Linked DNA regions of Tribolium castaneum. The protein of the gene in region 6 purifies or fractionates together with the protein of the main gene of each other region. This does not show direct contact. Links are inferred from orthologs where the notes say so. Each region holds a gene or a part of one and is shown on either strand. Other genes may lie near its edges. The genes, in order: sorting nexin-8, Roc1a, rictor, Dpm1, uncharacterized protein LOC103313224, ago and aurA.

What was found.
Region 1: the proteins of ago (region 6) and sorting nexin-8 purify together in Homo sapiens (affinity purification with mass spectrometry; 3 studies listed by BioGRID and IntAct, counting the BioPlex papers as one, with this or other methods). This does not show direct contact. The link is inferred for Tribolium castaneum from reciprocal best matches to the Homo sapiens genes FBXW7 and SNX8.
Region 2: the proteins of ago (region 6) and Roc1a purify together in Homo sapiens (affinity purification with western blotting; 8 studies listed by BioGRID and IntAct, with this or other methods). This does not show direct contact. The link is inferred for Tribolium castaneum from reciprocal best matches to the Homo sapiens genes FBXW7 and RBX1.
Region 3: the proteins of ago (region 6) and rictor purify together in Homo sapiens (affinity purification with western blotting; 3 studies listed by BioGRID, with this or other methods). This does not show direct contact. The link is inferred for Tribolium castaneum from reciprocal best matches to the Homo sapiens genes FBXW7 and RICTOR.
Region 4: the proteins of ago (region 6) and Dpm1 purify together in Homo sapiens (affinity purification with mass spectrometry, with the first as the bait; 3 studies listed by BioGRID). This does not show direct contact. The link is inferred for Tribolium castaneum from reciprocal best matches to the Homo sapiens genes FBXW7 and DPM1.
Region 5: the proteins of ago (region 6) and uncharacterized protein LOC103313224 purify together in Homo sapiens (affinity purification with mass spectrometry; 3 studies listed by BioGRID and IntAct, counting the BioPlex papers as one, with this or other methods). This does not show direct contact. The link is inferred for Tribolium castaneum from reciprocal best matches to the Homo sapiens genes FBXW7 and PRR36.
Region 7: the proteins of ago (region 6) and aurA purify together in Homo sapiens (affinity purification with western blotting; 5 studies listed by BioGRID). This does not show direct contact. The link is inferred for Tribolium castaneum from reciprocal best matches to the Homo sapiens genes FBXW7 and AURKA.

What each region holds. Positions count from the first base shown.
Region 1 is NC_087399.1:11,361,818-11,366,048, forward strand, and holds the start of sorting nexin-8, read left to right. Parts: upstream 1-1,431; 5' UTR 1,432-1,569; intron 1,570-1,599; exon of another isoform or gene 1,600-2,109; 5' UTR 2,110-2,199; coding exon 2,200-2,479; intron 2,480-2,526; coding exon 2,527-2,800; intron 2,801-4,231. UniProt on the Homo sapiens protein: May be involved in several stages of intracellular trafficking. May play a role in intracellular protein transport from early endosomes to the trans-Golgi network.
Region 2 is NC_087402.1:12,066,286-12,070,581, forward strand, and holds the start of Roc1a (RING-box protein 1A), read right to left. Parts: upstream 2,801-4,296; 5' UTR 2,705-2,800; coding exon 2,612-2,704; intron 2,560-2,611; coding exon 2,532-2,559; intron 2,483-2,531; coding exon 2,361-2,482; intron 2,310-2,360; coding exon 2,224-2,309; intron 171-2,223; coding exon 158-170; 3' UTR 1-157. Other genes in the region: e(y)3 (titin), read left to right, coding at 3,104-3,251, 3,300-3,638. UniProt on the Homo sapiens protein: E3 ubiquitin ligase component of multiple cullin-RING-based E3 ubiquitin-protein ligase (CRLs) complexes which mediate the ubiquitination and subsequent proteasomal degradation of target proteins, including proteins involved in cell cycle progression, signal transduction, transcription and transcription-coupled nucleotide excision repair.
Region 3 is NC_087395.1:23,067,881-23,070,881, forward strand, and holds the end of rictor (rapamycin-insensitive companion of mTOR), read left to right. Parts: intron 1-1,719; coding exon 1,720-1,758; intron 1,759-1,808; coding exon 1,809-2,221; 3' UTR 2,222-2,501; downstream 2,502-3,001. Other genes in the region: sterol O-acyltransferase 1, read right to left, coding at 2,536-3,001. UniProt on the Homo sapiens protein: Component of the mechanistic target of rapamycin complex 2 (mTORC2), which transduces signals from growth factors to pathways involved in proliferation, cytoskeletal organization, lipogenesis and anabolic output.
Region 4 is NC_087396.1:17,388,867-17,391,651, forward strand, and holds Dpm1 (dolichol-phosphate mannosyltransferase subunit 1), read left to right. Parts: upstream 1-1,265; coding exon 1,266-1,480; intron 1,481-1,527; coding exon 1,528-1,738; intron 1,739-1,785; coding exon 1,786-2,196; 3' UTR 2,197-2,285; downstream 2,286-2,785. Other genes in the region: phosphoenolpyruvate carboxykinase [GTP], read left to right, coding at 1-3; kappaB-Ras (NF-kappa-B inhibitor-interacting Ras-like protein 2), read right to left, coding at 330-572, 621-887, 939-1,037; V-type proton ATPase subunit G, read left to right, coding at 2,455-2,536, 2,623-2,785. UniProt on the Homo sapiens protein: Transfers mannose from GDP-mannose to dolichol monophosphate to form dolichol phosphate mannose (Dol-P-Man) which is the mannosyl donor in pathways leading to N-glycosylation, glycosyl phosphatidylinositol membrane anchoring, and O-mannosylation of proteins; catalytic subunit of the dolichol-phosphate mannose (DPM) synthase complex.
Region 5 is NC_087398.1:3,178,456-3,182,745, reverse strand, and holds the start of uncharacterized protein LOC103313224, read left to right. Parts: upstream 1-1,490; 5' UTR 1,491-1,647; coding exon 1,648-1,650; intron 1,651-4,290.
Region 6 is NC_087394.1:36,180,099-36,184,242, reverse strand, and holds the start of ago (archipelago), read left to right. Parts: upstream 1-1,344; 5' UTR 1,345-1,605; intron 1,606-1,739; 5' UTR 1,740-1,749; coding exon 1,750-2,109; intron 2,110-2,155; coding exon 2,156-2,266; intron 2,267-4,094; coding exon 4,095-4,144. Other genes in the region: uncharacterized protein LOC655874, read right to left, coding at 1-52, 251-375, 421-632, 680-834, 879-1,002. UniProt on the Homo sapiens protein: Substrate recognition component of a SCF (SKP1-CUL1-F-box protein) E3 ubiquitin-protein ligase complex which mediates the ubiquitination and subsequent proteasomal degradation of target proteins.
Region 7 is NC_087394.1:2,112,468-2,116,577, reverse strand, and holds the start of aurA (aurora kinase A), read right to left. Parts: upstream 2,801-4,110; 5' UTR 2,716-2,800; coding exon 2,289-2,715; intron 75-2,288; coding exon 1-74. UniProt on the Homo sapiens protein: Mitotic serine/threonine kinase that contributes to the regulation of cell cycle progression.

The DNA.
Region 1 (4,231 bases), on a different chromosome or scaffold from region 6:
GGTTATTCACAGATGTGAAAAGGTCCATTATTGACCTTTAAATGTTAGAAAATTAATCTTTTTTTACGAAAGCCGTGCATACTAACCCCCTGTCTCACTTAAAATTGTTTTCAAGTATACAGGGTGTTTCTAAAAGTAGCTACAACACAAACTTATGTTTTTTTAATGGTACAACCGTACAACCTATATTTTGTGCATTGTTTGATGTAGATATTTTTAAGCTAAATTGTTATTGGTCGATTTTGCTTTGTTTTTTTAAATAACTTGATTTTTTTGACAAAAACACACTTTTTTAAAAAAATCATTATATAAAAACTAGGAATCTCAGAAAAGTTGAACTTTCACCACTTTAAGAAGAAAGTTCAAATTTCAAGGAAGTATTATTTTTATTAGCTTACGCAATTAAGAAGATTCTTTAAAAGACATTTAAACTGTCTCTCTGAAAACATTAACAGTTAAGTGTCTTTTACTAATTACTCAAAATATATTTAACAATAAACATTAAAAAAATCATTAACTATTGTTTCAGTAGTCAAAAAGTGAAATCTTCTGCTACTAATAACTTTAGTGTTACCCTTAGACTATTATTCGTCATTTATTACAGTGAAATAACTAAAATTTAATAAATGGTGGAGTTGCTATGGTGATGACATGGTTTACTATGGTAACAACAATGCTCAGGAATAGTGTTCATTGTTGTTAAAATTAACTTTTAAAGTGAAATATCTTTTTAGTTATTAACTTTAACCATTTGAAACTTTATGTTTTTAGATAGACAATAATGGTCTTTGAGAAGCAAGAACAAAAAATAGGGCGTTCCATTTAAGTTTTTCAAGTTATTTGGCTTTTAACAAACTTCTTAATTTTTTTATGTTTCTAATTGTTATACGGCAAACAGCTGGAACAGATTTAAGTATGAACGTTTCCCTTTAAAGTGGTGAAAGTCCTACCTTTCTACGATTCTCCGTTTTTGTGTAATAAATTTTTTAATAAAACGTGTTTTTGTCAAACAAATCAAAATATTTAAAAAACTGAGCAGAATCGACTAATACAAGTTAACATTAAAATCATCAGCATTAAAAGCTACGTCCAAAAATGCAATAAAATTTGGGGTATTCCGTTTAAAAAAAACAACTTTAATGCATTTTTAGTTTTGGAACATACTATACTATACAAAATACAGGCAATATTTTAGGAATATGTAGCAGATATGCAGCTATAAAAAAAAGGAAAAGACAATATTTTAAATAATAAGCAAATTATGGAGTTTTTTCGGATCGTTGGGACAGCCTGCATATTTCGTTTCACATCCTAATAGTTTTAGATATCCGTAGTACCACCTTAACTTTAATGAAAAACTAGGGTTGTAATGATTTTGGCTAACTTTTTTCGAAATAGATCACATAAATTAAGGTGGATACAAAGACAGGACGGAAGTGTACTCCCCCTCAACTTCGCCATTCACAATCGACCACGAAGACAAGACTGGCCCGGCGAATTGCTCGAAAATGGGATGTTTTATTTCGCCGAAAGAAAACTAATCAATCGGGGACTTTTACAAAGTCACAGGTACAGTACCACCAACTTAACCAATGAATCTCTACCAGTTCGTTTTATTTTCATGAAAACACCGTCCGGTAGTTAAGATTAATAATTTATCACCGCTGTTTATTTACTCACGAACCGGATAAGTCCGGATATTTGCATAAGTTGGTACCAGGGGGTACCGAGCACTTTGAAACCATTAATTAGTGTTAAAACAGCCACGATTCCATCAACAATACAGAAAAATGAAACGAAACAAATAAACAATGCCTCTTGACCTTTTTGCGGCAAAGTGAAAGTGCGAATATTTCTAATCCCAGCGTGTGTTCAATTAAACTCCTTTCAGTAGTGTTGTGTAAGTCGCGCAGAATTTCACTGCGAATATTTCCATTTCCTTGTTTATTTATTAAACCTAACCTAACCTCTCAAAAAACTGTCAAAAAAGTAATGCCAACGAGGCATTGAGGTTATGTTTATTAAGTGTCATTCCCGTGGGGCCAATTAATAAATTATTTCTATCCGGTGTCGTGTCCACCCACAAATGACGCACGCAAGTGATTGTAGATGCAAAATTGTGGAAATCCCCCAAAAATATAGTCTCGAAATCGACACTCGCTCCGATTTGGACGTCGCAAAAGCCCTCGTCCAGCTAACATGACGACAGATTTGAGTGCCGGGACTGTGCCCCCTTTGTATCGCGAAGTGTTCGATGTGTGTTCCCACAATGGGGAGCCAGTCCACAGGGACGTGTACCAGTGCCTTTTATCCCAATGTAACCTAAACACCACTCAGTTGAAAGTTATCTGGGACCTTGCGGGGCCTTCGCAAGGCCTTATCACGCGAACCAACCTTTACAAAACGCTAGCGCTAGTGGCTTGGGCACAACAGGGCAAAACACTATCCGAAAAACTCTTCGAAACTGCTTCGGGAAAAGGTATGCGAGTTTAAAAATCAATTCGATTTTAGCGCAGTTTTCAACAGAATATCCGACTCCGAGTATTGGTGACCTAACCCCTGTTAAAAATCTAGTTTTGAAGCTCAATTTAAAAGCCAATCCTGCCGTTTTGGGGCTCACTTATACTGAAATCACTCAGTTGGATACGATTAGTGTTGAATTGGTACCTGAGAAGAAGGGGCTGTTTCTGAAATATTCGGAATATTTGGTGGCTTCGAGACGATTTAATTCCAAAGTCACGAGGAGGTATAATGATTTTTTGGCCTTGCAAGAACTGCTCCTTAGTCGGTTTCCATACAGGTAAGAATAAAATTTTGATAACATTGTTAATAGAACATAAAAATTTCGAAATATTTGATTGATTTTGACAATTAATAACGTGGGGAATTTTAATTAATAGAGTTCAAAATGCTATTAAATTAAATTATGTAGGTATGACTAAAAAAATCTACATCGCAATAAATTCAGTGATAAAAATAAAATAAATATCAACACTTGAAAAAAGTTACAGAATTAATCATAATAGTTGTTATTAAGCAGTAAAATATTATAGTTTTACCTTGAAAATGAACAATGTAATAATATTTTAAAAATAGCACCAGAAGAACTTGCTGTTCAACTCTCAGTATTACGTTATTATTATTTATTTTTCTAAAAAAAATTTTTTTTAAAATTGTTAAGAATTTTATTAAATGTCATTTAAATGTGGAATTACGAAAATTTCGTTACTGCTTTTGACATAGTCAAATGTCATCACCAGAGGGCGTCTAGTTAATTTTATTTCCGAATACAACTTGCATATTATTAGAAAGTTTATGAGAAATACTATCGATACGTGTAAATAAATACATGGTGACCAATTTGAAAAAAAAATGAGTTATTCAACTTTTTTGTGTTTTAACTCATCATGTAATTATTTGCGTGTTTCAAGTAAAAGTCGACTATTGCTAAAACTATAGGGTATTCTCAGTTTTTCTGTTGCAAATTTTTTGGAAATATTCATAGGCGACTTCGCAGTGATTTTTCAAAAATTGGTCTTTTTATAACGAAAAGTTGAAGAATTCTAAAACGAAAAATGATAGACCTAGAATAGTTTATATAGTCATATTTTTTGCGTAGAATCTAAAAATGCATAAATATGTAGGGTCTTCTTTTTCAAAAAATGTAACTTTGGTTTGTGGACTTTAAATCGATCTATCGGATAATAAAAACAACATAGCAATATTTCAATTCCCAAAAAAAGTTATAAACCGATTCCGCACCTCTGGGTCACCCTGTATTTATCAATTACATAGTACTTGTTTTATGTAATGAGCTTTTAATAATGTTCTAATGTCTTAATAAGACGATGATAAAAAAACTATCATTATTTAGTTGTTTCAAACGGACTGTCTTTATTTATTTAATGGCAATCAAAACAATACATTTCTTACAGTTTTTCAAATAATTATGAAAAACTCATTTAAATTGTTCAATCACGTGGTATAAGTAATCAATATATTAAATAGCAAAGGTTCAAAAATGGAACTCTGTGGGACGGGACTTCCCAGGGCTACATTAAAAAAAATGACTGAACTTTACGATTAATTTTTTTTTTAGTATTTTTTTAGTAGCTTTAAATTTATAAAACATTAAATATTGTAGAGACAGAAGATACACTCTTTTTTATATTTTAATGTGCATCAAGTAGGTAGGTTGTGTAAGTCTAAATGCACTTTTTATTTAATAGCG
Region 2 (4,296 bases), on a different chromosome or scaffold from region 6:
ATTGAATAATAATTTATTGAAATACAAAATGTAACAAAAAATTTCAAGACCTGGATTATACAAAAACTAAATTTCCGTTATAACATGTTGAGTTTACGAAAAAAAATGGTGAGAATCAAATACCGAAAACCGTATTATGCTACTGATAACATAACGATCAATGCCCATACCTGCAAAAAATACATCATCAGTACTTTCTTAGAATAAAAAATAAAATAAAAAAAATCAAAGTAATTTACACCACCATCACATGTTTCAGTTTATTTTCACTTTCTACAGTTTCTTAAAAATTGTTTTCTTCGATTTTTTTCGTAAACTACTGTTTGAGTTTTTCTGAAATTTATCGGATGATGTATTTCTGTAGAGAACAAGTCAATATACCGGTAACTAAAAAACTTTTACAAAAGCGTTTCTCATTATTCGTTGTTATTTGGCAAATGCAGTATATGTATTAGCTATTTTGAAAGTATAAAAACGCCAAAATCGCATTTTTTCTCAAAATTAGTTGTTATAAATTATTCATGCACTTTAAAAAATAGTACCTAATGTAATTTATACTTTCAATGAGAGATCTAATCATTAGTAACTATTTTAAAAATTCTATGTATTTTGTTTAAAAAAATAATTCAGTAACAGGCGACGTTGGCGTTTTTATAGTTTTGAAACAGTTTATTTATTCAAACGAAATAATTAATTAATATTACAACAATTGAACAATTGTTAGAAAACAAATACATATTAATTCAGTTTTTAGTAAAATTACTTTGATTTTTATTTAAGTTATTTAAGTTGTTTAAATACGTTCTTAGGACAAATACTAACGTTGACGATTATACTGTTTTTTAAGTTAAAGTACCTACCACTTAAAATTATTTTCAAGTATACAGGCTGTTTCTAAAATTAGATACAATACAAACTTGTTTTTTTAAATGGAACAACCTATATTTTTTGCATTTTTGGATGTAGCTTTTAACACAGATGTTTTCAAGCTTTTCAAATTGTTATAGGTCGATTTTGCTTTGTTTTTACAATAACTGGATTTTTTTGCCAAAACACGCTTTTTTAAAAAAATCGTTACATAAAAACTTAGAATCTCAGAAAAGAGGAACTTTCACCACTTTAAAGAAAGAAAGTTCAAACTCCAAGGATGTATTATTTTTATTAGCTTACTGCAATCAAGAAGATAAAAAATGAAGAGGTTTGTTGCAAGTTGAATAACTTAAAAATTTTAAATGGAACACCCAATTTTTATTTTTGCATCTAAAAGACCTTTAAATAGTCTCTCTGACAAGATTAACAGTTGGGTCTTTCGCTAATTAGTGATTACTCAAAAGATTTTTAACATTAAACAATAAAAAAATTATTACCTATTGTTTCAGTAGTCAAAAAGTGAAATTTTCTGCTAATAATAACTTTAATGTTACTTTTAGGCCATTATTTGTCATTTATAACAGTGAAATAATTAAAATTTCAATACTTATAGAATTTTTAGTCCCGTATAATCTCCAACAAGTGGTCTGTGGTGGAGTTGCTATGGTTGTGATATGTTGTTGAAATTAACGTTTAAAGTGAAATATCTTTTTAGTTAGTAACTTTAGGAAGTTGAAACTTTATGTTTTTAGTAATTTAGTAATTTTTGAGAAGCAATAACAAAAAATAGAGTGTTCCATTTAAGTTTTTCAAGTTTTAATAAACTTTAATTTTTCTGTTTCTAATTGTAATACGCTAAACAATTGGAACAGATTTATAAGTTTGAACTTTTCCCCGTGTGGGATTCTACGATTCTGCCTTTTTGTGTAATAATTTTTTGTGTTTTTGTCAAAAAAATCAAAATATTTTAAAAACTAAGCAAAAATGCAATAAAATTTAGGGTGTTTCATTTGAAAAAACATAGCTTTAGTGTTTTTTTATATTGGAACATCCTCTATATGCATACCCGTATCTAAAAAAAAGGAAAACTCAATATCTTTAATAATAAACAAATTATGGAGCTTTTTGGGATCGTTGGGACAGCCTGTGTTTAAGTATTATTATGAAATTACTATAACAAAAACTGTGAAATGTGACATTCAAATTTCCCGCCATGTCACACAACAAAGTAGATCGTTAATTGACCACTAGATGGTATAACAATAAAAAATTTAAACCCTCTGTATTGTAAAAGTTGTAAAAACAAAGGGACTATTAACCCGTTAGAAAAACATTTAAAATAAAAAAACTTACTTTTGAAATTCCCATTCTCGATTATCTAGTGGGCACACCTGCCTTGTCTTCAACCACCTCGAAATACAGTGAAAATGAAACGCGTGCTAAAACCAGATTCACTAAAACCAAAACTCAAAAAACAGCAAATTACTCACATTACACACTCCCCAAGCAACTGTACACTCTTCACTGGTCGCTGAGGCCTGATTTGCCTGACACTCAATACATAAATCCATAATATGATTGCGACAAATGGCACAATTATCGACCACGATATCTAAAATTTTAATTAAAACCAACGTGTCTAATAAAATGACACAGCGTACCCCAAGCCCACAACGCTACGGCGTTCCACTTCATAAAAATGAAAAATCATCAAGTGTTAGGTTATGTCTCACAAACTTACCTTTTTCACTTCGAAACGCTTCTTTTCACCCTTGGAACTGCTCGAAGTGGGAACTTCGACCTCGTCAACATCCACGTCCATTGCCGCTGCCATTTTTGCCCAAATAACACAAAATTGTGAGTTTTTACAAACGTTAATTGCCAAACTGTTTGGGGTGAAATTTCGACTGGGGAATTTTACGCGTGTGTTGGGTGCCCTTCAACCACCACAGAATGACCAATTTTGCGAAAATCAATGTTATTAACTTAACTAATGGATGGCTAACGCATTAAAATTGTAAACAAGTGTTGTATTAATTGATAATTATTTTATTAATGGCCATTTTCGTCTGACGGTTGCCGTTGGCACTCCTGGCGAAGCTTCCACTTGTGATGGCGTTTGTCGTTTAAAACCGTAAACAAAAATGCCGCATTTAATTATACCCGTAATTAATTGTCTGTGATAAACGGTGTGTTTTCAACCAAATAGCACCATTTTCCCGTGCAAGTGACAATGGAAAGTGAAAAATCCACCGAAAGCGAGTTAACCTCAACAATGGGCAACCTGCTGTCATCGAATACCGACGAAAAAAGTGAGTCTTGTGATTCAACCCCAACGTCTTCCACCGATGCATTTACAACCACTTCAACGTCACACATTGGTAAGTGTTTTTTCCAGTTTTCCTTGCGCTTACTTCAATTGTGTTCAGCTGCTGACGATCCAATCAGTAGCACATCCTCGGATGCTTTGGATTCGGGGAAACACCCGAGTAGTGCGAACCCAGTTATTAATTTAGTGAGGGAGATGTCAGGGGGTGGTAACCCATCGCCGATTGCGTCCGATAAGGACCTGCTCGATATGAATATTACGGATACTTCTACGGAGAAAATTACAGAAAATGTTGATGACATTGTTCAGGATTTGGAGAATTTGTTAGGGGAGCCGACGACTTCGTTTGATTTTACGATTCGAAAGGATCTGAGAGGGGCTAATAAAGACATTGCGATGGAGCTTGATGAGTTTTCAGCTGAACTTCAAATGTTGCAAGGTAAGAAATCAAATATTTATTTAATTTATATTAATTTTAAATGATTAGTTAATAAGTCAGCCAGTGTCAAAAAACGGGCGTTAGGGGAGCCACTAGTCTGGGCTTCAATGGAACATGTATGTTTTGGTTTCAAAATGTACTAAATTTCGTTTCCAAAAAATACAGCCGAAATCAAATATTTTATTAATTAATTGAGTTAATAGTTAATAAGTCAGCTATGGGCATTGGGGTGCTTCACAGTCATGTCTTAAAAATTTTGAACAGTATCAAATGTTAGCGTAATTATTAGCTGTTTCGAAATTATAAAAATGCCAACGTCGGATTTTCTCTAGAAGTAATTGTTATAAATTATTTATGCTTTTCAAAGAATTAATAGCTTATATATTTTCTAGTTTTATTGGAAGATCTTGTCATTAATAACTATTTTTATCAATCTTATTTAAAAAAAATATTCGGTTAAATGCGATGTTAACAGTGTCTTAATTTTGATATTGTTAAAGTCTTTGATAATTAAGGTTATTGATAATTGAATAATTAATAATTGAAATTTTTAAGAAACGGTTCTGCAAAAATTTAAAAATCTATGATAGATATCAATTTGTATTTTTTTTTCTGTTCGCATTTCCAATTTTACAATGTGGCTCCAATTATAGGTTGG
Region 3 (3,001 bases), on a different chromosome or scaffold from region 6:
TTTGATTATCGTCTTGTCATATTTCGTGTCGAATTTGGTGAAACAATTCAGGACGTAGTTGGATTTAAATTAATTTAAAATAAAACACATTTCTGAATTCTGTTTTCAAACTGAGTAAAATTTACCCAAGTTGTTGGTACTTATCTGTCATAGTTTTTAACATTATATCAGTTTTATTTATAATATCACTGCTCTTGAACCATTTGCGATAAGTGAATAATTTTTTTACATTCTGTAACCGAAGGTTTGAAAAGCTTTCTGAAATTTTCAAATTTGTTGACTGTCAAAATTCAAGGCTAGTATGATTTCTTGAAAATTATTATCGTAAACGGCTCTAACTCAGTTTTTTTTATGGAATCACCTTATTTTCTCAAAGGTAATCGAAAGAACATCGACATTTATGGTGACTTATTAACACGTCTTATACCTATCTCTTACGGTTTTTGAAAAATCACAAAAAAGGATTTTATTTTGTAATTTTCATCGTGAATCAAGTAGACTTTGCAAAATGGTCAACAATTGTCAAATTTCAACATTTTATTTCGTTTTTAGCTGTATGATTATCGAATAAGTAGTAAAACAATAATATGTAATTATGGTTTATTATAAGTTAGTGAATTATGTAAAGTATGTAACTTAGTCAGTCTGCCTTCGAATTTTTAACTTCTTAAATAAAAATGGTGGACATATCGAACATTTCTTTTAATTAATTGCACACCTTATCGAATTTTTCGAAAGTTTATTTAGTTAAAAATGAAAATATTGAGCTAAAATTCCGTTTTTTGCGTTTTGATTATCATTTAAAAAAATCATAGTAGCCTTGCAATTTGACTGTTGACAGTCTTGAAGATTTTAGAATACCCTTTGAACTTTTGGTTATCAAATGCATAAAGAATTATTCACTTCTTGTAAAGGGTTTAAGAGCTATAATTTTTTAAATAAACTCCTGTAAATAAAAAAAAATTCCAAAAAAATTACATGTCAAAAACTATGACAGGTAAGTACCTTTTAGTTACTTTCAAAAGACGAATTTAAAAATTCAATAAAAATAGTTTTAAAAACTTTCTAATTAGAACCTAAAAGAATCAGCCTGTATCATTTAAACGTTCAATAAAGCTTAGAGTGAATAGAGTGAATATAAGAAATTAGAGACACGGGTCGTGTTTGGCATAATAACAATTAAGCACTCGACAGATGTTATTGTCATCTGTGTTATTAGTTAATTGATATAATTATTAAGTAATTATTTTTTTATTCAATATAAATATAATACTATTACTGTGTATTATGGGAATCTTCTTTTAATTGTTCATCGAGTGGAAAACTCAAGGTTTGCGGACAGCGCATTTTAATTTACACTAAAAAACCCACAACTGGGGAACTTTAGGTTTTTTTAATTTTCCCGACGATTTTACATAAGTAAATACAATTTCAAACGAGTGTCGCTTGATAACTTAATTGTAAGTACTTTTATTGTGTATCTTACATAAAAAAGATTGTAACTTATCGAAACTACCCAGAATTTTCCAGTTTTCTTAGCACCAATCGTTTCCTCGGAATTTTTCACATAAAATCTTCCCGATTTTGGCCCGCAATTTCGCCAAAATTAACAAATAATGGAAATTTAAATTTTTTGAAGTAGCCCGTATCGCTACGTTTATATTTACTGGCTTTAGCCTTGAAAAATAGCCTTTAATCGCGGATTGTTTTTTTTTTCAGACCCTTTGGACTGTAAATACGACCCAAACAGCCCTGACAGTGAGTTTGTAGCGAATTTCCCCCGATTGTGTGTAATAATTTGCTTGTAGACGTTCTCAAGGGCCAGGTTCTGCACCTGATTGACCTATTTTCGAACCCCGTTTGGGCCAAACAGGTGAAACAGTCGCTCTTGCAGTACAAGCAAGGCAGTCCTCACGTCTTCCAAGACGCTTGTATTTACTCAGAAGTGTGCAAAATGATTTCGGAATGTGCGTATCGTTCGTCACCTCGTCGGATGCTCCACGAACTCTTCCTCGAAGTGAAATTCGACGATCTCTACCTACAATGCGCCAGGTTTTTGAAAAGTGCCGCTCAGAATAATGTCGATTCTGGTAAGTCATCGGGGGATTCGATCGATAGTGAGGGGGCGCAGTCGAATATAAAAAAATTAGATTCGCTAAAACTCGCATATAAAGAGAATAAATTTCCGATTCGCAATCGAAACGAATCGAAAATCGTGTAACTTTTGGTTCCTCTATTTTTCGAATTGATACAGGGTGTTCTGTTTCTAGGTTTAAGTTTTTTTGCGTTACGTGTAGTCTGTCGCTTTGTTTTTTTTTGTTGTATATAAGGAACGGTTCATTCCACTCGGGAGAACAACCTGTGTGTATATAACTAATTTATTTGACTTTTTGTGATCAAAACAGTGAAATTACGTGTGAGAAAAATTCGTTTATTCGCATGTGACACAATTATCGTTACTTTTTTTACATACAAAAAATATAAATAAAAAATATACACAACTGACAAGCTATAATTACGAAGAACCCACTCTTCCTACAATTCCAAGCAATCACACGTCAAAAACCTTGGTAGCAAGTTTTCGAAAAAAGTCGGATTTTCCAAAGGAGCATTAATTCGTGCGTAAAACTCGATACCGTACATGGTAACCAGGGTGGCCACCCCCAAGCAGAGCGAATACCAGAACAGAATGTTAAAAAGCGGCGTTTTCGGGGCCCCTAGAAAGTTAAAAATCGACCCGAAAACCAAAAACTCGACAAACAACAAGGGGAAAAAGAAGCCAAACATGAACGTCAGGATCCACTCGTGCACAATCGCCGAAATCAAGAACACGGCGAATTTGGCAAACCATAAATTCCCCTTGTAAACAGTTTCGGAAGATTCGCGATAAACGTAAAGGTACAGCCAGTCCTGGACGATTATGTTCCACTTCCGGAAATACCCGGAATAGTCCGTGCACGTCCACCAATCCAGATAGAACAACCGGTCGCCGAACCGCGTC
Region 4 (2,785 bases), on a different chromosome or scaffold from region 6:
TAGATTTATTCACAAATCTCACTTCAAACATTTATTGCAATTGATAAATGTAACTACTTTTTAGGCTTAGTTTTGTATCAAAGTATTTTATAAGAGATTAATTTTTTATACAAGTTTTATCAAAGGTATTCTAAATAAATACTTTCAATTTACAAGTTCTTTACTTTGTTATTTAACTTAAAATTATGCTTAGTCATTTCAGAAGAAACCGGAAAATTATCACACATGTTTTTTAAAAAATCTTTATTATAAACAGATTCATGATTTACATAAATCAATAAATAAAATAAATAAATGCTTCAGGATTTAGTCTTGAGTATTTGAAAAAATTAACTTTGATCCTTGACCTTTCTACCCATAGATAAAGGCGTAAACGTACTTTTACTAGGTGGAGGATTCAATTTACTCGTGATATGAACAAAAGGCTCATATAACGTAATTCTGTGCATTGCAGATGCCGTAAAATGCCTCAATTTCTCTCTATTGCACCAGGCCGTGGCTTTACTCAACGTAGAGTCAAATTCCGTATTTTCAGTCTCTTTAAATTTATTTCCTATCACAATTATAGTAACCTATAATATCAATAAATAAATAAGAGTCATTTTTTTAGTTGGACACACCTCTTTTTTATCTTTATTCTTATCAATGTCCTTCTTGAGTGACACTAACATATCAAGTGATTCTGATTTCTCGGTATCATAAACTAAAATATAACCGTCAGCAATCGCCAAATAGTGTCTGGGGAGCTGCTGGTTGGTGGTTCCACTAGCTGTGGCCGTTTGGAGCGGTTCAAGGCCCGCAGTGTCATAAAAACGAACTTTTTCTCTTGTGCCTTTATCCGACTCAATATTAGCGACGTAAATGTCTTCAATAGTAGAATGTAACTCCTAGAAACCCCTCATTTAGTAAATCTTCAGCATTAGGACTGTGATACATACACTCTTCGAGGTTATATTACCGTAAATGACTTGCTCCAAAACTGCGGTTTTACCGACCCCTTTCATGCCGCATATCACTACTTTTGATGTTTTACCCATTTTGGGGCTGCCTGGAGTATTGTTTATTTCAAAACGTCAAATTTGACACCTGTCGTTGTCACAGGTGACATTGACAAACAAATACCAACGTATCAAAAAATTATTAATCATAAAATTCGCAAAAACCAAATGTTTGGATTTATTATCGATTATTTTGATACTTGATCAGTTCATTGTGCGCAATTAGTGATTGTAAATTGCTTAGCTAACTCGATTACGTGTCAATAAATGCGCAACTATTTTTTCGGTTTGTTGGCTATCCTGCTTTTCGCTGTTCTAATTCCTAACCTCAAACGTGACGAGAACAAATTTGAAAATTCCGGCAAAATGGGCAAAGAAAGTAAAAGTAGTGAAGACAAGTACTCGATTTTACTACCAACATACAACGAAGTGGAAAACTTGCCGATTATCGTATGGCTGATTGTAAAATACATGGAAAAGAGGTGGGGCTTTTATTGCTTCTCTTCCCATTTTTAAAGCCACGTTTTAGTGGATATAATTACGAAGTAATCATAATCGACGATGGAAGCCCCGACGGGACGCAAGATGCCGCCAAACAGCTCCAAAAAATTTACGGCGAAAATAAAATCTTGCTAAAACCAAGAGAGAAAAAGCTGGGACTGGGGACTGCTTACATCCACGGAATGAAACACGCCAGTGGCAATTTTATTCTTATTATGGATGCGGATTTGAGCCATCATGTAACATGCATATTTTTCGTAAATATTACCTAATAGAAAAATTTTAGCCTAAGTTTATCCCACAATTTATTGAAAAACAAAAATCAAAGGATTATGATGTAGTCTCGGGGACGCGTTATGTGGGCTCTGGTGGTGTTTATGGTTGGGATTTTAGAAGAAAATTGATTTCAAGAGGAGCCAATTTTCTAACACAACTTTTACTAAGACCTGGGGCCTCAGACTTGACTGGTTCTTTCAGATTGTACAAAAAAGATGTTTTAGAGAAGTTAATCAAAAGTTGTGTTTCAAAAGGTTACGTTTTCCAGATGGAAATGATTGTGAGGGCGCGCCAATTTAATTATACCGTCGGGGAAGTCCCTATTACTTTCGTTGATAGGGTTTATGGGGAGTCTAAGCTTGGGGGCTCAGAGATATTTCAATTTGCTAAAGCTTTGCTCTATTTGTTTGCCACCACATAATTTTATATTCTGCATTCCAATAATTATTTGAAATAATAAATGAAACATTTATGTATGTTATTTTTTAATAAAAGTGCTTCTATGAAATATTTAAATTGTTTTTTATTAATATTGAATTGAAAAACATGTGACCGTGACACAATTGCCACTAGCGCCACCCTATCAATCCGTGTCGACTTCCCCAACTAGCGATCATATGACATTTGCCTCAATTCAGGTGTACTCGTACTCCGATTTCGTGGTGAATTTTGAGTGAGAATGGCAAGTCAAACCCAAGGAATCCAGCAACTCTTAGCTGCGGAGAAGAGAGCGGCTGAAAAAGTGTCAGAAGCCCGCAAACGTGAGTGTTTTTTGCGAAAAAAGCCCAAACATGAATCGCAGTGGGCGTTCATGTTTGACAGTCACGAGTTCTCAATTGTTTTACAGGTAAGGCCCGAAGGCTCAAACAGGCCAAAGAGGAGGCCCAAGATGAGATTGAAAAATACCGCAAGGAACGCGAACGCCAATTCCGCGATTTTGAGGCGAAACACATGGGCTCTAAAGAAGGGGTTGCTGCCAAAATTGAGGCGGACACCAAACAACGAATTGA
Region 5 (4,290 bases), on a different chromosome or scaffold from region 6:
CTTCGCTAGATTGGTACAAAGTCAAATAATAATAAAACAATTATTCAGTATTAAGCAGCGTTTGAAAAAATAAAAAATAATAAAGTTCAATCAAAAAAATTTTTGGATCTTTGTCCAGAACCAACAGTTAGAACCAATTATTTTCCAAGACTGTCAAAAAAAAAAATTAAAAAAACCCTTATTTTGTGTGCTTATTTCTTATTTGTAAAAACCAACATTTTTCGCGATTTTAAAGGTGTAGTCTCGCTGTTTATGTAAAACGCCTTAGGGAGTTCAAGTTCGGAATATTTCTGTTCGTTTGTAAATTGTTGATAAATATTTTAAAATTCGAATAATTTTATTTTTGCAATCACTTTACGTTTTTTAGCACAGTTAAATTTGAGCTTAGGTCATACTTGGGACACTTTGTGTATGTAGGTAAATGATTTTACCGTTCTGTTTGAGAATGAAAAAATGAGCGTTAAGTTTAAATTATTGCTTACAATTGCCAATTTCATTTGGGTATTTTTTTAATTAAAAAAAATGCAAAAATTTCGTTTGATTTGTAAATTGAGTTGAAATTAAATTGGTTAAAACTGAAAGTATGCAACCAAAACTTCTCACAAGGCAAAAAACAAGTTATATAACTTATTCTAATTTTTAAAATTATATATATTGTTGGTTGCAAACCAAGAAATTAAAAATCGAGTTTGGTTTTTGCAATTACAAATATTATACAAATTAGCATTCATGACTTAACTTTAAGCTGTTTGTTTTCTTTTGATTTCTTCGAAGATTTTTTTTGAAAAAAAAATAGATTCAAATTTTAATTTTGTGCGCTACTTTTGGCTCAATCTGTATTATTTCATTTGTTAAATAATTATAAGACATTTATTCTTTTAATTTTTGGTTATTTTTTTCTTTAAAAAACTTAGGAATTTTTTTGCACTTGTTTTGAACCTTTCTAAAACCGTTCTTAAAATTGTGGGCATTGTTTTTCGTAAGAAAAAAAAGACTGCACAATGACCTTTCTGGTCTCTCGGTCTCTGTTCATTACAAAAGTTTGCTTTTCTAATATAATTTTAATAGAAACATCCTAAATAACGAAAAGGTTAACCTTAATCATGCTCAAAGATATTCATATTTATACTTTTGTTAGTAATTGCAAACAAACAGTTAGTTTGAATCATCAAAGTTCAATAATAGGGGAAAGTGAGCTTTGCAAGTTTTCAATGTCTATTCTATTAGCAATTCTGATACAGGGTGCCAATCGACGAGAGTTTTTTTTAACGCAACACTTTATATTTTTTGTTTTTTTTTGGTAAATTTCTAATAAATTTACATTTTTTTAAATTATTAGGTATTTAAGCTTTAAAGTATTTTTTTTTGATGATTTGAAGAGTTGGAGTCAATTTTCACGCCACTGTCGTAGCTGTGGAGCAGTCTCCTCACATCACACGAGCCGATGAATGAGATGAGCTCCGTGAGTTCGATAACATGAAAGTGGTGGCAATATTTCGCTGAAGATGTGTCTTCACGTAGGAGGATAGTTTTGCAACTTGATTACCTTCATATAGATAATATAAAAACCCTCCTTTTACAAAATACAATTATTAATGTCTAGTGTTTAGTGCAGTATCCTTCCATGTAGCAAGACATGATCGCAGCATGGTATGGTTAAAATTTAATTAGCCCAATTTTTAATTTTCGAAAAAATTTAACTTGCGAATCCAATGTGTGCTTAATTAATTAAATGTCTTTTTCTAATTTATCTAATCGCATGTACGTAATTGTTGTTACAACAAAACTTTCTCTCTTACTTCAAATTTACTGAAATCACATCGGTGTCAAATTATCTTGTAATCATTTAGTTATTTGCTACTGTATGATTGATTAATGTTTTGTCCCCAAAGACTGACAATTTTTATTGCCTATTAATGTCATCGCGAATGGAAATTTAGGAAAAAATTGTTTGACACTGGAAAACTGTTTTTTGTCTTGAGAACAAAATTGTAGGATTTATATTTAAATTGTGCGACTATTTTAATCATCCTGAAAAGAATAAGTTATTTGCACTTCCCCTGCTGTAAACGTGCTTGCTTAGCTTGAAAACGTTATGTAACTGTAGCCATATATTGCTGAAATTGTCAGTTATATTAATTATTTAAAAATAACCTATTGATATTAACTGCTTTAACATTTAAGCTCCAAAGGTTATCTCCAGTGCAATTATTACAAATATTGAATGGGTATAACACAAAGCGACACTAGTAACTCATTGTCTGATCAATCAAAATTTTAATTAGACGTATTGTAGAAATTATTGAATTAATATAATATAATGTATGCTGCAAGTTTGTAAATTAGCATAAATATGCTGTTTTTATAATGAAGTGCTGAATGTAAATCGGCAAAGTACCCGATCGTCAGTAAATAATTGAATGAAAGTTCTTTTTTTAAAAACAAGAATGCATAAGAAAGGAGTATAATTTACAACTTCGATTAAAATAGACATAACGTATACTTAAGTGTCTTGTTAGTTTGGAATTTTTTAATTGTACTTTGAAGATTCTTCAGGGTTTACACTTTGACATTTATCGACGGGATTTTTTAAAAACCGGAATCAACCTCAACGAAAAAATTAAGAATTATATGGTCTTTACATTAAATTCGCGAGATTCTTTTCTTTTAATAGATGCTATTAAGTTGGCGTAACACATAATTTGCCTTAAATTTTGGAGTTATCGAAATAAAATAGATGGAGTAGTAGACATTTGAAAATGCAAATTTTTTTAACAAGTGTACCATCTGTACATTTAAGTTGAATTCCATTCGAAAGCGTTTTCGTTGATATGAGGGGAATCCTTGACATGTCAAGGAAATAAATTATTGCTTTATAAAAATATCTCCTGGATTATTAAAATATTTGGATGGTACATTCTGACCTTTTGTTTTTGTCTAATATATTATGCATATTAGCTCTTTTGTAAAACCCAATTTAGTTTCATTGACAGCTAACATGTTGGAAAATACAATCATTTAATTTTAACAAAAGTAAATACTTTCACGTTGATATCCTTCAATCGAACGATGTGTACATCGTTTTTTGTTTGGTGTACAAATTATTTTAAATTTTGCACAAACGGTAACCTTATTCAAATACGGTGTCAAACAAATTCTAAGGTAGTGAAAACCATGACATTTCCGCTAACAATTTAACAAGATTAGCTTAAACTTTAGCATATTTTTTCAGATTTAAATAAAATTACATCAATTCAATAATGCATAAAACAACCATCCGGAGAGTTCAGCATACGTAATGTCACTGTCATGGTCAAGGCATAAGTTAGTAATAAAAATGTTAGGTATTCGTTTTCTCAATTTATTATTTATTTTATTTGGTATTTTACCATGTTACCAATTAAAAAAGCTATGAGATCCAAAATCACTAAAGAAATAAGTTGTTTACTGTTTAAAACCTTGAGAAAGCTCTTTTTAAAAATGGTGGCATCGAAGAGTTTTAAAGTGCAATTTTATAACTCTACAATTATAAAACAATAAATTATAAAAGAAATCTTAATAACGCTGCGCTGTTATTCCACAGATGCGTTAGTTGTACAATACTTGATCAATGATTAGGTATTTGATGAAGCAATCAAAATATTTATTTGCCTTGAACCACATCTTTACCACATCACACAGTATTTTTTCACGTGTTCTACTAATTACCAATTTTGTTTACCGATAATAATTAAAAACTAATCTACAGGTGTTTTGGATAATGCAATGCACATTGTGGAACTTTTAATACTTCTAATTAGAAAATTATATTAATTTCACTAAAAATTAATTAATTAATTCGGTTAAAACAGCCATTTATGTGAATAATTTATAGCTGTTTGTGTTAAGTTCTATAGATGAAATATTAATCAAGATAGTAGTCGAAGAAGCGGCATTTTGTTGCAGGTGCTAATTAACATTTTTGCGACCAAGGTGTTGTTTAACTCATTCTGTACGACTCATATATCAATCAGTAATATATTGTCGAACAATTATGATGTAATGCTTTAGTAGTTTAGTATATCTTGAGTCTTCATCTTACATAAGAAAGAACGTCGAATGTGTAAAGTAGTTGACATTTACTTACGCGTCTGTGACCTTTTAACATTAGTATTCATTATTTATTTTATAGTTTATTTCAAGATTCCGCTACCTGTCTGTTAGCTATCGTAAAAATGACGTAAGGAATCATTTTTGGTTAAAGGAGTTTCATTGACTAGTCCCGTACATATTAATTTAATAATCATTTAC
Region 6 (4,144 bases):
TGTTGGTTGCATGCAACGCTGGTTAGAGAGCAAAACTCGTTGTTGTACAAAACTGAAAAATAAATATTTTTCGATAAAAATTTAGCTCAAAAACATCAGTATTAAAAGCTACATCCATTACAAAAAAAAACAATTTCCTATTGTAGCTAACTTTGGACACTTGTATACTTGAAAATAATGTTTACATCTTCACTTTGCTCCCGTGAAATATACATGATTTTTTCGCCTCACTGGACGAAAAAATAATTACCTGAGGCAGGGCACGGATTACGGTCGTCCCAAATACAGCACTTCCGGTCCATTGAAGCTGTGACAAAGACGTTTGGTTCCGACTTAAGTGTATCAACATAGTTTACAAGTTCCGTGTGATAATCGCTGGAAATAAAACTTAGATAAGGGAAAATTGTTGATAAAACTTACGGAAAGTGATTTAGTGGTTTACGGATAGTGCTATTAATGTCCCAAATGGTCACCGCTTTATTCGAGCAGGTGAGTATCCGTGTGCTGTTCTTCCAAACTGCGATTTTCGGAATGCGATCTATTTCCCTATAATAACCTGCCGATTGTATGGTTTGGTTTTCACGTGATATTGTGAGAATATTTAAAAGACCCGTATCTTCAGCTAACGCAAACTATTTTCATATTATTTGTTGTGTGTACACATTTAGCTGAAACTTACAGTACTGTCGTTTAAAAATTTCCCGTCTGAAACCGTGGACCCAATCAAGCTTCTGTTGTGTTTCAGAAGCAACAAATTCTCCTCATTTGAGAAAAATAGCAAAGTGCCTTCCCAAAGAGTCCCGTTTAAGTTCGAACACCCCAGAACTGACTCGTCTAAAAGACAATTAATCGCCAAAATTGAAAAAAACCCACCTTACCTTTTTCATTAAATTCTAGGAAAAGTAAGTGTTTGTAAACGACCGGTGTTGTCGAAAGTTCGACTTTCCGTTGCAGCGATTTATTCGGTGGATAAACCACCGTATTTAATTCGTTTTCAATCATTTTAACACAAATTCAAAAAAGAGTTCGAGGTTAAGTTTTGGTGCAAAAAAGCCACTAAAATCACATGTGCGCCGTTAAATTCCCCCAGCTTGTCACCTTGCTACTCCTGTAACTAAAGTCACGAAATCGTAGCGTAAATTCTCGAAATACAATGCAATGGTGTTGGGGAAAAACACAAAACGGATTTTCCTGCAATTGGTGAGTGTTTTCCAAAAGTTTGGGGTCCTGGATGTTTTTTTGGGCGAATGGTTTGTGGAGTCAGGGTGTTTGTGAAACGGGGCGGCGCCTTAGCCACGCGATTTTGCTGATATTTCTTATTCTTCATTTACACAAGTTCGTCCAGATATTTGTAATGGTGCCAATAAATCCTAGTATTTTGAGAATGGCCGTCAGTGTAGTTTTTTGAAAAGGTATTTTACCCAGCGAGATGCACAAGAAAACTCGCTTTAGTGTCTCGGAGTGATAGGAAGTAGCAAACAGTGGTCCTTGATGCATAGTTTTTGGAAGCATTTCGTTAATTTTCCTTCTTCTCTTGCAATTATCTGGTAGTTAGAGTAGTTTCGTTTCATGCCTTCGAATAATGATAGAAAATTACATCAGTAGGTATGTCAGATGCAATTATTCTAACCATTTTTCCCCCATTGCACTCATCTTGTAATTAAGTAGGATAACGTGTTTCACTCGCGGAGATAATTTTATCGCAAAACTTTACTTAAGACGTTTTTTGTTTTTTCTAGACTGTAGATAATGGCAGAATCATGTCCTTCAGGCAGAAGTAATTTCAACCCCTTATCTAGTATTAATCGAGATTCAGAACTTCCAAAACAAGACTGCACCAGCCCTAGCCCTACTGAAACCGTTTGTCTAGAGTCGTTGTGTACCACTGATAATGCACCAGGTACATCCCAGAATCACTTAGCTCCATTGAGTGAAAAACTAGATGAGATATTTAGAATTAGTCAATCGGGCGAGGAGACTGAAAAAACTAGCTTTCTCAATAAGCTAGGTCTGGAAGAATGTGATGAAGAAGACAGTTTTGAGAAGGAAGAAAACTGGGAGGATTGTACTGAAGGAGACCTCTCTGAAGAAAATCAAGAGCTAGAAGAGGTAACTCCATACAGTGTGTTAACTTTTTACTAAATTATTTTTACAGGACGAAGATAGCAGTGAAGTTTTTTCAGGTTCACCTCCAGGTCCTCATCAAACAACACCAAGGAGTTCGTACGCGAAGAGAAGTGGGTCGTACGCCACTGACAGATACTGGGTAAGCAGAAATTATGTTTGTTGTTTCAAGCGAATGTGCAATAATATTATTTTAAAAATAAACCCATTGACTGTTTCCATCACTGGATAATGCATTTTCTGCAAATGGTTAGCACAAGGCAAACAAAAAATTACAGGCAGAGATAATTTATATTAATTTTGCTTTTTTCTTATTCACTGATAACTAAAATATATGTCACATTTGTCTAACACGTGTAGTTTTCTTAATATATTCACTAAAAGTTTTAAAAATTTGTTTCTGGTGGCATTCATTGTTTCTGTGATCAACTATTGTTAAACCTTGTAATTATTTTAAAATATCTTCAAGTGAATGTAGATTAAGTCCAAACAACTTTTGTTTTGTTTGTGGTAAAATTGTCTATAAAATCTGGGAGACTTAAACGATCAAATGGTAAATATTTTCATCAAATCTTATGAAGAGAGTTATTAAGGTTTTTGGGATAAAAATATGTTATTCGTTTTCTACTAGTCCACATTGAGATAAACACCCTGATAGTACAAGAGAAGAAGCAATCTGTAACATTTTAGATGTTGCGAAAATTGTCAAATACTGATACTTTATAATGAGTATTTAAACTTAATTTGTTTTCGACTTCAGCATCAGATTTAGTGGTAATTATTCTACTGACATTGGTAAAAATCGTGGTAAACTAGTGTAATTATCTGCAATTTTTTGTAAACAAATCAGTGACACATTTTATTACGCCACTGCTCAGGTGGTACTTAATCTTTGCAATACCTGTTGTATTAAATAATTTCTCAATACTAGTTTTTGTTTAATTTTTTTTAACAAAATGTGACTAATAATAAATAATATTACTCTCATAAGTAAAGTTGTGACCATTTTTGGTTGTTGTTTTGACAATTTAAAAAGAAAATAATTAAAAAATACGAGTTGGTCTTGACTATTTGGTCGAAAATGTAATTTAAAGGAATTTGGTTTTAATGAACGCTTACCTTATCTATGTATAATACGAGTTTAAAAACAATCGTCACAGTTTTAATTATGTATTTAATCTTTATATAACTTTTAGATAAAATAACAAAACGAATAATTAAGGGGCATTGGGGAAAAATCGATAAGTAATACGCGAATAAGTCACGTTTACGTAGTAGTGCATTAAAGTTATTGCTCGTTTTTTAAACATTCCCATGGTCAATGAAGGTCTTTAACCTGTTTGGGACTTTGCTGTTTTTAACTATTTAGTTTACTTGTTGTTTTTGTATTGGTAAACACGAGTTGGGCGATAACGTAAATTAAAGATAGACATAAAAGGTAATAATTTTGATCCTTTTTGAAATTATCGTTGTATAATACAAACTAACAATTTTCATAGTTATTTATTATGCCTGTAGATTTTTTTTTAAATTGTTGAAAAAATGTTTGTTACCTTTGACAACCTCTAATTCTGTGTTTAGTAAACAATGTTACTCAAATATCTATGATAATAAAGCAATTTCCACATAATCACATGCATTAGAATACAGTGTAGTAATAATTAACTGCATGTCATAAAAAACTTATCAGGTTAATTTTGCTTTTTAACGCTAGTTTTTCCGGTTTAAGATGTTACATTATTTTCACCTTAATGGTGTTTATGTATTAATCGCAAATGTAAAGAGCTTAACAAAAATAAAACAGTCGTACTTCTTTTTTTTTAATGATGAAACTTGTAAGTGTTGAGTCGATAACATAATACGTTGATCGACATATGATTTTAGCCTAATCTTCTCTCTGATATTTTTTGAAACGAATATTTTGTGCTGTTTTGTTAGCAGTTGTAATGTGTTTTGTTCGGTTTTTTTAGAGAAAACGGAAGTTGGACGTGCAGAATGGGTTTCCGTGCAAGAAGTTGCT
Region 7 (4,110 bases), about 34 Mb from region 6:
GCGGATGTAGCGGGCGCATGTCTCCTCCGGGAAGCGCCTGTTGGGGGCTGCTTGCAGCGCCTTGTAGCATGTGCCTAAACAGGGGGGTTATCAAGGTGGAAAGTGGGGGCACAGTGGTCCAAAGTGGGGAAAACACCCCCGAAATGTTCTTTTAATTTAATTAATTGATTTCTAAAACAACGATGCAAAAAATTCCTAAAAAAACTGTATTGGAACAAAAATACCGCGATGTTTTTCTTCAAAAAAATTGGAAGACAACGTAATTTTTTTAGCGATATTTTGTTCAAACTGGCTAGAAAATCACCCACAGGTATTTATGTTGAAAACTACATTATTCTTGAGTTCTTTTGAATGTTTAAGCATGTTCTATGCGCTCAAACTTACAAAAAACAAAAAAGATGGTAATTTTTTAATCACGTTTCTATGGTAAAAATTTACCTTTTTGTCTAAAATTCTGTATGTTTAAAATCACGTAATTTTTTTATTTTTTTTAACGATTAATTTTTTATTTTTTTGTTGTGAATTCGCTTTAACTGGCGGACAATTAAAAAAATGAACATTATTTAATTTTAATTAGTTTTTTATCAACAAATTTAAAATTCTTCGTTTTTAGGAAAACATGAAGCACGTCTTCGACCAGAAAAAATTAGGTCAAAAAAATGTTCTTTTTCACTTTTTTTTAACTAAAAACTCGAAATTTTAATTTTAATTGAAAAAAAATATTTGTGTTAAAAGGTCCCTTTTTTCGTTAGATTTTGATAAATGCCAAAAAACAGACTATTTAAATTCTAAATAGCGCAGCCACCTTGATTTTTTTCAAACCCAAAATAATAGTAAGAATAATAACAATATATAGCTAACAAAAATAGATTTAGTAATAAAAAAGTGAAAAATGAATCTGCTTTTATACACAATATTACACATTTAAATACAACAAATAAATAATATGTCAAAAAACTCATAAATATAAATTTTTCATTCAACTTTGTAGTCTAAACCATTTTTTTTGTTTTTTTTATAAAATCACAAAAACGTCGAGCTTAGGTGTTTCTGTTGTCATTCCATAGATTTTTTATCAATGAAAATATTGATTCGAATGAATGGAGAAAACTAGTTTTTTAATTCATTTTTTAAAGAAAACTTCAGTGCTATTCAAAATAAAATTTATTTATCAAATATTTTACAAAAACAAACCTTTATTAAAAAAATTGTTAGTACAAAAAAAATTCGAGGACGATTTTTTAAAAATTCTGTTTTCAACTTTGTTGAATTTCATTCGTCAAACTTTTCGCCAAGACGTCTCAAAATGTTCATTAGTTTGAAAAATTAAAACTATTATATAATATTAACACTGAAAAAACTTGAGAATTATCAACCTTAGCATAAAAATAGCAGAAAAAACGCTTTTTGGCATAAAAGCATAGTTTTTTAGCCAAACTGACAAATAAAAGTTAAGAAAATTGGTTCATTTGAAAAAGAAAAGCTTAATTAGCAAAATGCTAGGAATCCGAACTTTAGTAATAACTTTCAATATAATAATTTCTCGTATATATGACATGACTTTTTTTACCGATTTACAAAGTTTTATCAAAATAAATTTCGTAAAAAAAAGTATAAAAATTAAATCTACTTTCATATAATATAATATTACAAAACAATGCGAAATAGTTTTACTGACATAACAAATAAACAGTGAAAATACATTTTCATTTAATTTGGTAACAAAAACCAACATTTTTTTGCCTTCAAATTCAGTGCACCATAAATTAAAAATTTTAGTTTAAAGTCTTCTTAACACTGATAATTCAAAGCTTACTCTCGTCATTCCAGATTTTTCAACATTGAAAATATTTTTTTTTGGGAATGGAAAAAACAAATTTTATTGTTTTAAATTGTTTTTATTTAGTTTATAATAGTCAGCCACTTTTCCGTATCCAATGTATTGACCTCAAGACGTTTTTTTAAAATAGTAGTTAATGGTTTTATTTTAGTTAAGACAGCTTTTAGTAGTAACTTTGTTCCCCATTTAACTTAATGTAATAACTAACCCACAAATTTTATAAATCTTTCTCAACCATTTACTGAAATCATTCAAAAATGCTTAGTTTGCAACTTTCAGAAGGCTCTTCTTTTAGAAGATTTTTCCGAATAACTCTTGTTTTTCATTCATTGTTTATTGAGCCCCAATTTAAATGTGTTTTTTTGTTAATAAAACACATGAAATTTAATGATTTCACCAATTTCTGGCGGGTTTTGAGCAGTTTGGACCACTGTACGTGGGGGCTTACCATTGGGGGCGTATTCCAGTATTATGTAGACCCTCGACTCGTCGTGAAAATAGCCATACATTCGCAGAATATTGTTGTGTCTCAAGTGCGACTGAATCTCGATTTCCCTCCGCACTTGGTGCTCGTTATTGAAGTCTTTGATCGCACTTTTGAACAGCACTTTAAGCGCAACGACAAATTTCGACTGTTTTTCGCGAGCTAAGTACACGTTTCCGAATTTACCACGCCCGAGGGGCTTCCCGATATCGAAGTCCGCCAAGGTCCAACGCCGCCCCTTCGAACTCTCCTGAGCCGTGTCACTTGCAGCCCCCTTCTGGGCCTTGTTCTCGGAGAGAGCCCCCTTTTGCGCCGGGGGGCCCTTTTTCGCCGCGGCGCGCGGAACGTTGTTCTCCTTGTTTTGGCACACGGGGGCCTTCCTTTGGGACATATTTACAACAAAAACACTTCACTCCGACTTAACACTTTTGCACAATTTCAACTTGTGATAAGTTCGAATTTGAATTGTCACTTCGTAAGTCAACGGTTTTTCAACTGCCAACACTCCAACACGAAAAACCCAAAACAAATTTGTGTGAAGACAGCTCCCCAAACCAGCTCCTCGAAATTCCGAAGAAACCCGAACATGAAGCCAGTTTCACACTAGCAAAATACGTTTCAATTTGCGTAGATGTATGTTTGGTTGTCAGCTTTGAAACCGTTTAATAAAATAAAAATCCGAAAAAACACTAAACACCCTCTTAAAAATGACATTTTAAGAAAGTCACTTTGCTAATAGCGAAAAACTCAATTATTTACCACAAATTGCTTCTTAATTTTTCCCACTTTTTCACCTAATTTCAATATTTATAGCTCCGCAAATGCACTATCGCCCCATTTCACCCCGAAATCGGTTTTGTCACACAATGCCCTTTTGACCACCAATTCAACAATAAAAAAGACATTTTTCAAAAATAAAATTATGGCCTTTTAGTTGTCGGAACAATGTTAAAAAATATATCCGAAATTGAATTAAAATCGGAAATAAATCAGGCTGAATTACCGGGCCTGCTAACAGATTATCATTTATACTCAATTTATTAGAGCTTTACATGAACAGTCAGACTACAATCAACTTGGTACTATCACTGTTTTCATTAATTATAATTACACAACTGTGTGATAAGTGAAAAGAATTTTCGGTAGAATCGTTTACTACGAGTTCCAATTTTAAATAATTTTTCATGAACGAAATGTACGTACCCCTCATTTAGTTTATGATCCCTAGCTCTCCTTTTCTCCACCGACAACAAACGGTTTAAAGCTATTTTGCGCATCAGGCGGCGTTTGCTTAAAAGGACCGTAAACCATAAACCATAAACCGCCCATGTGTTTTGTTAAAATGTTTTTCACAAGAATTCTGTGAAGGGTGTCCAGTAAATTATCATTTATTGCATCTTTATTTTCTATTTCCCAAAATCGGACAATATTATTACCAAAACAGGCGAGTTATGATAACAGGCGTGCATAAATTGGGCACTATTGAATCCCCAAATACCGGGCACCCTCTCTTTACGTGTTCGAGTCCTAGAAATTCGGCACCGCATCTTATCAGGTCAAAACGGATTATTACCTGATCACCCCTTTTCGGACATCACAGAAAAAATAGGCGAAAAAGACAACTTTACCAAAAAAATTTATTAAAGGTGTGAACATCTAAAAACAAGTTATTTTGTTTTCTTGTAATACAAATTTACGTAGTTTGTGCCATTCTGATACAATATACCTAGATGGCATTGCCACATCAGCGACCCCACTTGGTGCCTATTTCCAAGTCCCTGTACCA